2 linked regions of the Schizosaccharomyces pombe genome follow. The protein of the gene in region 1 interacts with the protein of each later gene in a biochemical or structural test. Each region holds a gene or a part of one and is shown on either strand. Other genes may lie near its edges. The genes, in order: hus1 and ape2.

What was found.
Region 2: the proteins of hus1 (region 1) and ape2 form a complex in vitro, tested with the Schizosaccharomyces pombe proteins (one study listed by BioGRID).

The regions. Positions count from the first base shown.
Region 1 is NC_003424.3:4,820,617-4,824,544, reverse strand, and holds hus1 (checkpoint clamp complex protein Hus1), read left to right. Parts: upstream 1-1,841; 5' UTR 1,842-1,966; coding exon 1,967-2,009; exon of another isoform or gene 2,010-2,057; coding exon 2,058-2,166; exon of another isoform or gene 2,167-2,231; coding exon 2,232-2,244; exon of another isoform or gene 2,245-2,298; coding exon 2,299-2,893; exon of another isoform or gene 2,894-2,950; coding exon 2,951-3,054; 3' UTR 3,055-3,558; downstream 3,559-3,928. Other genes in the region: fmp40 (adenylyltransferase), read left to right, coding at 1-1,602. UniProt on the Schizosaccharomyces pombe protein: Essential in controlling the S-M checkpoint that couples mitosis to the completion of DNA replication. It is also required for the response to DNA damage.
Region 2 is NC_003423.3:2,411,107-2,415,034, reverse strand, and holds the start of ape2 (aminopeptidase Ape2), read right to left. Parts: upstream 2,058-3,928; 5' UTR 1,529-2,057; coding exon 1-1,528. Other genes in the region: SPOM_SPBC1921.04C (uncharacterized protein), read left to right, coding at 3,631-3,928.

The sequences.
Region 1 (3,928 bases):
AGAATCTTACATGTTCCTCGATTTGTGGAAGGCGGCGGCTTATTTACTTATTTGACTCCATCACTAAAAGCCAATTCTCAATTATTAGCTTATAGCCCTTCGTCCGTGAAGTCATTAGGACTCGAAGAATCTGAAACTCAAACTGAAGCTTTTCAACAGCTTGTTGTCGGTTCTAACGTTGATGTCAATAAGTGTTGTCCTTGGGCGCAATGTTATGGAGGATACCAATTTGGGGATTGGGCAGGTCAGTTGGGTGATGGCCGCGTAGTATCCTTATGCGAACTTACCAACCCGGAAACTGGAAAACGCTTTGAGATTCAAGTCAAAGGCGCAGGAAGAACACCATACTCTCGATTTGCAGATGGAAAGGCTGTTTTAAGATCTAGCATTCGAGAATATTTATGTTGTGAAGCTTTATATGCTCTAGGCATTCCAACAACACAGGCTCTGGCAATTTCCAATCTTGAAGGTGTTGTAGCACAACGTGAGACTGTAGAGCCTTGCGCCGTTGTTTGCCGTATGGCCCCTTCTTGGATCAGAATTGGGACTTTCGATCTCCAGGGGATTAATAATCAAATTGAGTCTTTACGGAAATTAGCCGACTATTGTCTAAATTTCGTTTTAAAAGATGGATTTCATGGTGGAGATACTGGAAATCGCTACGAAAAACTTCTTCGAGATGTTGCATATCGAAATGCTAAAACTGTAGCCAAATGGCAAGCATATGGATTTATGAATGGTGTTTTGAATACTGATAATACCAGTATACTGGGACTATCAATTGATTATGGACCTTTTGGATTTTTAGATGTTTACAACCCATCTTTTACACCTAATCATGACGATGTATTTTTGCGATATTCATATCGCAACCAACCTGATATTATTATTTGGAATTTATCAAAATTAGCATCTGCTTTGGTTGAGTTAATTGGAGCTTGCGACAAAGTTGATGACTTGCAATATATGGAACAACTTCATAACTCTACTGATTTGTTAAAAAAGGCGTTTGCTTATACTTCTGAAGTTTTTGAAAAGATAGTAGAAGAGTATAAAAATATTGTCCAGAATGATTTCTATGATCTTATGTTCAAACGAGTGGGTCTTCCCTCTGACTCATCTAACAAAATTCTGATAACTGATTTGTTACAAATTTTGGAGGATTATGAATTGGATATGCCAAATTGTTTTTCCTTTCTTTCTAGAAACTCTCCCTCTTCAATGGAGAATGAAGAATATGCTGCAAAATTGATGCAAGCATGTATTTGTCTAAACCCGAATAATGAAAGAGTTAGAAATGAATCTGTCAAAGCTTTCACTAATTGGGTTGGTCGATATAGTGAAGCAACGAAAACTCAGGAAGATTCATCCCGATTAGCGAGCATGAAAAAAGTCAACCCACATTTTACTCTTAGAAATTGGGTTCTTGAAGAGGTGATTAAAGAAGCATACATCGGGAAATTTGAGCTTTTTAAAAAAGTGTGTAAAATGGCTGCCTGTCCGTTCGAAGATACTTGGGGGTTTTCCAAGGAAGAAGAGGATTATTTATGCTATAACACTACTCCCTCCAAAAGCCAAATTCAATGTTCCTGCTCTAGCTAGAACCCTTCTTACTTGCCATTTATTTTTTTAATGTAATTTAAAATTTAGGAATAGCTAATCGTATGAAATAAATGATACAACGAATAGGCTCTTGAGTATAATTTTTTTTAGACTCTAAGACTTTTGTAAATCTTTTTAAATTTTATTCATTAATTTTATTCCACTTGCCATTAAAATTTGCATTTGCTTAATAAAGATTGCGATGCAGTTGCTAATGCCCAGTTTGCTATTTCTTAGCTGGCTTTTACGCGTTCGTAGTTTTTTCGACCGAAAATTTATTATTGGTCGACTTTAACCTGCTAAACGCTTGAATAAACAAAATGCCAAAAAATCTCAATCTCATTAGTTAAATCAAAGACTGAAAATGAGATTTAAAACAAGGATTAGCAACTTGTACACGTTGACGCGTAAGTTGGAAAAGATCAGCAGAAAGTTCGTTTACTAATCAAATTTAGGTCTTGTTCAGGCGCTAGATAAAATTGGAAGATTTTGCTGGCTTCGTCTGATGCCTGAAACTGTAAATTTTGTGATAGTGCCAGATTTTAGGATGACTCAAGTTTGGTCGTAAGTGAAGATATTAAGCATTTAACGGTGAAAAAAATCACATTGTGAAACTAATAAAGAAACAGAGTTTTAGAAGTCGTATGATTAACTATCTTTTTCTATTTGATTGCCCTAACTAACGTAAACGGAAAGGAAACAATATTTGAGGACTATGTCGTCCAAAGCAATGCAGACAACGTGATAAATCTAGAAGTTCCTATAGATAATTTCTATAAAGCCTTACGATCAGCGGCCAACGCTAGTGATTCTACTGTTCGTCTATCCAAGAAGAATAACCAGCCATTACTTTCGTTGTCTACCACTTGGAGTGGAAGGGCGTTTGGTTCGAATATTGTGACTCATAATATACCTGTTCGAGTACTATCACAATCATACGTGTCAGTTATTAAGGAACCAACTGCTCCTGAACCAGACTGTCATATATTCCTTCCACAACTGAATTTTCTAAGACACGTCGTGGACAAATACAAGAGTCTTTCAGACCGTATTATAATGTCAGCCAACATGTCAGGCGAATTGCAGTTATCGGTAAACATACCTTCAGCTAGAGTAAGCACAAAATGGAAAGGATTAGAGAATCCAGAGTTAGATCCTAGTCAAGTCGAAGACATCAGTCGACATCCCTCTCAAACAAGGGCACCCGAAGAATTTGTTCACATGAGACTAGACAGCAAGGACTTAGTCAACATGTTAAAAATATCCAGTGTTGCAAAGCGTGTAATAGCGTGTATGTACTATGAGAGAATCCTTTTTATGACCACGAACTAACCTTTTTACATTACAGGTTTCTGTGAAGGACATGCGCTAGTACTTTATGTTTATATAACAGATCCAGAAGATGAACATACGGCTGTTTTAACATACTACATTAGTACCTATGTGGACTAAGGTTACTTCAATTTGTTTATGATTTGATTTAATTAACGAATAATTGTTATGAGTGACTAGCCACATTTTTAATGTACATTAAAATGAAAAGAGATTAATCAACATCTACCATGCTTATACTTATTTTCTCTCTCTTCCTTTATCGATCTTACCGTTCTTTTTTATTTATTTTATACAGTTGTTGTAATCTCGGCAACTCAGTGTTTTACTATTCCGTTGATATCTCTTAAAAGGATAACACCAAAAAGAAATATAATGTTCAAGTCACAGAAAATCTGTTGATAAAATCCATATGTTTTCACGTTTTCAATGAGAGATACATACGATTAAACACAAACGTATGTTTTCAAGCAATTAACTTGAATATGAATAAACCTTGGTTCATCTTTCTTTAATCTTTTAGACAAGCAACTGTTCAGAAATCTATAAAGTCTCAATTGAACATTTAAGTGCTCAATGGGAAATATATACTTAATAAAAATTGAATATTTTAATCGTTTTTTTGAGAAGATATATGCCATTGACTGTAGCTTCTATTAATTTCCGCCTATTCTTTCTTGTACTTTGGAGGCATCGCTATACATTTTACGTAGAAGTGATGAAAATGGCGAGTTCCTCTTTAAAAGTGCGAAAATTTCAGGCTGTCTGTCATCGGAATTGACTATGTTCGATAGTTATTCCTCCTCCGATGCAGTCGGCTACACATGTAAACTGTACCAACATTCAGTACGAAAGGGGCTGAACGTTGTTACCTAGAAAAGTTGGTATCGCAATAGAGGTAACGATAGTGAAAATCCCACAATAACTTAAATATGGAGAGGTATCCGGGGAAATCCGCTACATAAACAACACATATACAGACATATAAATTGAC
Region 2 (3,928 bases), on another chromosome or scaffold:
TTTTAAGTTTTAAGGGGGCCCAATAAATTACAGTATCTTCTTCGGGTTTAACGTCTCCTGTTGACAAAAATCGATGTTGCTCAATTAAAAGCTCTCCATCATTGGTTTCAGAAACGGATAGCACGGGATAACCTGTCTTCTTAGTCCAATTGTGCATAGTGGAAGAGATGTCCTGACCTGATTCTGCCGACAAGGCAGCCCATAAGTCTTCCGTAACTGTGTTACCATAACGGTGCTTAGAAATGTATTTTTGAATACCCTTAATAAACGTATCTTCGCCAACATACTTGCTAACCATGCGGATAACACAAGAACCTTTAGAGTAAGAGATAGCGTCAAATATTTGGTTAATTTCGTAATCGTGCATAATGGGAACTTCAATAGGATGACTGGAACGAAGTGCATCCAACGAAAGAGCAGATTGAAGGTTGTCTGTAACATAAGATTCCCAAACCTTCCATTCAGGGTAAAAATGGTTACAGCTAAACCATGACATCCAGGTAGCGAAACCCTCATTAAGCCATAAGCCGTCCCAAAATTGCATGGTAACAAGATTACCAAACCACTGATGGGCTAATTCGTGTTGTACAACTTCGGCTACACGTTCAATTACAGTAGCAGCGGAATCCTCAGAAACCAAGATGGCAGCAAGTCTGTAGGTAACTAAACCCCAATTTTCCATAGCACCTGCTTCAAAATCAGGAATAGCAACCATATCGCATTTGGGTAAAGGATATGGCTCGCCAAATACACCAGAGAAGAAGTCTAAGGTCTTAGCACCTAATTCCGCAGCAAATTTACCCTGTTCGGAAAACCCAGGTGTAGTATAAACACGAACAGGAAGACGGGGGCAATGCTTGCCAGGGGTGAAATACTCAACGTATTCGAGTTCGGCAACAATCCAAGCCAAAAGGTAAGTGGACATTCGGCAAGTTTCGGCAAAACGGGCAGTTTTCAAACCATCCTTGACAGTTTCCTCAACGGCATTCATGTTACTAAGGATAGTATAGTTTTCCTTAGCAGTGATATCGATGGTAAAGGTAGCTTTCAAAGCAGGTTCATCCCAGCAGGGGAAAGCACGACGAGCACTAGTAGGCTCCATCTGGGTCGTGGCAAGATACTTGGTATTACCATCGCTGTCAACGTAACTAGAGCGGTAGAAACCCTCCATGCCACTGGAAATACGGGCAGTGAAAGGCAACGTCAAAACAGCAACAGAGTTGGCTGGGACAGTGGAGGGAAATTGAAGAACGATACGCTCATCCCCATAAGAGACTTCGCTGGCCCAGACGGTTTGGCTGCCCCATTCTAACGCAGCCGTCAAAATACGAAGGTTAATGCCATGTAGAGTAATACTGTTGCTGTCCTCAAGTACATCCAAGGTAACGACGACTTTACCGCCGTAAGTGAACGTCTCCAAATCTGGATATAAACTCAAATCATAGTGGATGGGTTTAACATTTTTTGGAAGCAAATTCCGATTTTTATCGTCTTCCTTAGAAGTAGATTTAGGAATGGTGACTTGCATTTTTACAAAAGAAAAATAACGCTGAAAATCAATACAGCTAAACTAGCCAGAGCAATAATGAAGCTGAATAGAGCAAATGTGATACGATAGTGGGAAAGGTGAAGGAAGAATTTGCCAACTAATTAAATAATGGTACAAAAACCGTAGGAAGATGGAATTACGAACGATGAGTCAGTTAGTTAGAAAAAGTATCGATACGAACAAACAAACAGCCGATAACGATCGATAGAGTAATTCAACAGACTCCTTAATTAATCTTAAAAAACCTAACGTTAATTTTAAATTTTAATAGTCAAAGAAATGTAGATGTCGTTTTCCACGCTGTGGAAATGAGAACGATGGGAAACGGGATGGAACAGATGATAATTTGTCCAACAACGCTGAAAAGCACACGATTACACACTTAAACGTAATGATATTTTCCAAGCAACAAACGAAAAACGTAAAGACACTAAACGACGAAAAGATGTAATAGGTCTAAGCTGCCAATGAAGATGGTTAAGTAGGTAGTTGGTGTAAGTAGAAGGTTGGTGAAAGCACTATGTGTGTGTGCCCAGGATATATAAGCGTCTGATGGAGTAAGCATAGTTTCTTCACGTAACATAAGTATCATAAACAACTTATTTTAAAGTAACAACAACAAATGATAAACCCCAATGTCGTAACCGACTCGAAATCCCATATCCAAGGTGATTTTAGGGAGTATAAACGAGCTCTCCTTAAAACAAAAACAGAAGCAACTAGTTAGATATTGATTGATGCTATGAATTCTGCTGCTTTTTTAAGATAAAAAATATTAAATGTAAAACAAGAAGAAACACATCTTGTAGCTTGACAGTTGAGAGAAAACATTTCAAAATCCCCCGAATGTGCTAATGTTGGTGACTTTATCACTCAGTGGAAGATGAGATAGTTAAAGAAACCGGAGCTTTTCGATGTTTAGAATAAAACCACGCAAAAATATATTACCGTTTTGTGCAGAAAAAACTACATCACTTTTCTTGGTTCCGAAGCGCTAAAATTACCGTCGATAAATAGAATAGACAATTCAAGGCAAGACTTGTAACAAGAAAAAAAAGATTTATCCCTCACATAGCAAGGCGTTTTTATTAGGCTTAGAATATTTGGTCTTCAAAAACAGTAAAGCTCGTCCAAGCCAAAAATACTTGGTCTCATCGGTGGTAACGATTGTTTGATTCTATTTACAAACTGCCTTTCTTTCTAAGATTGCTGCGGAGCTTTTCTACTTTGCCTAAGAAAAATGAAATCGGCAGTGCATGTCTTATGACAAAAAAATTTTTGCCCAAGAATATAATTACTTACTGCTCGACTCGCTTATTGTCAATCCTCCTTTAATACCAAAGTCTATTTCTACATATTTGGTAGCACGATCATAGAATTTACGCCAAACGAACGTAAATTTCAATTCCAATCTAATAAATCGTTTGTATGTCACTTAATCGCTCTCATCGTTTCTTCATTCCCGACATCATATTTTTTAATACTTACCGTAACAAAATAAACAAGGGTAAAATTGTCTGGAAACAAAATTACAATACAATTTTGATAATTGACTTTCTTTTGCAATGTGCCGTATACCTCCTTTTATAAGATAAGATCCTCGGATATTGCAGAGAAACACCAACGACTCCTACGATTATAGGATCCTTCCGCACCATTTTAGTGCCCCAGTGTGGGAACTTAATAGATACAACAGAGATAACGATAAGGTGAACAAATATGAAATGCATCTAAACGTTAAACGACATACAGCATGTGCATTGTTAATACCCGTGGAGAAGACAGAGCAAAGAACACTAGGATTTTTTCTTTTATCCACGGCACAATCAACTATGATATTTCACATTACAGCCATAATAGTGACAAAATAGAAATGAACGTAGCTTGTTAAACCCATTGAGTATCCTGTCCGACAAACAAGCTGTCCCTATAACACTAAAAAATGGAAGAAATTTCGATAATTCAAAATTAAGTAAACAGCAGGTTTTTAAAACCCACGAATACAACCAAAATTTACACAAGACAGACAAATACAACCAACACATAACATGAATAATATTAAAATGAATTAAAAAACATTAATGAGTCATACAAAAAATTTAAAACTTATACTACAAAGCAAAAAGCTATCTGAACTACCGACCCACAGAAAAAGTATCAATATGACTATTCCTGTAAGGGCACTAAGATGTCCAATATGGCTCTGGCCCACGTATGACGCTCAAACCATTCCATGGAAAAAGAAAAAGAAAAGTGAGCAACACGAATTGTGGGCGTCGGTATATAACCGCACGATAGGGAAACTTCAACTTAACAAACTCACGTTTATAGACCTTTGTGACTGTTTTTTAAACCCTACCCTTTTAAGTAATTTGTTTG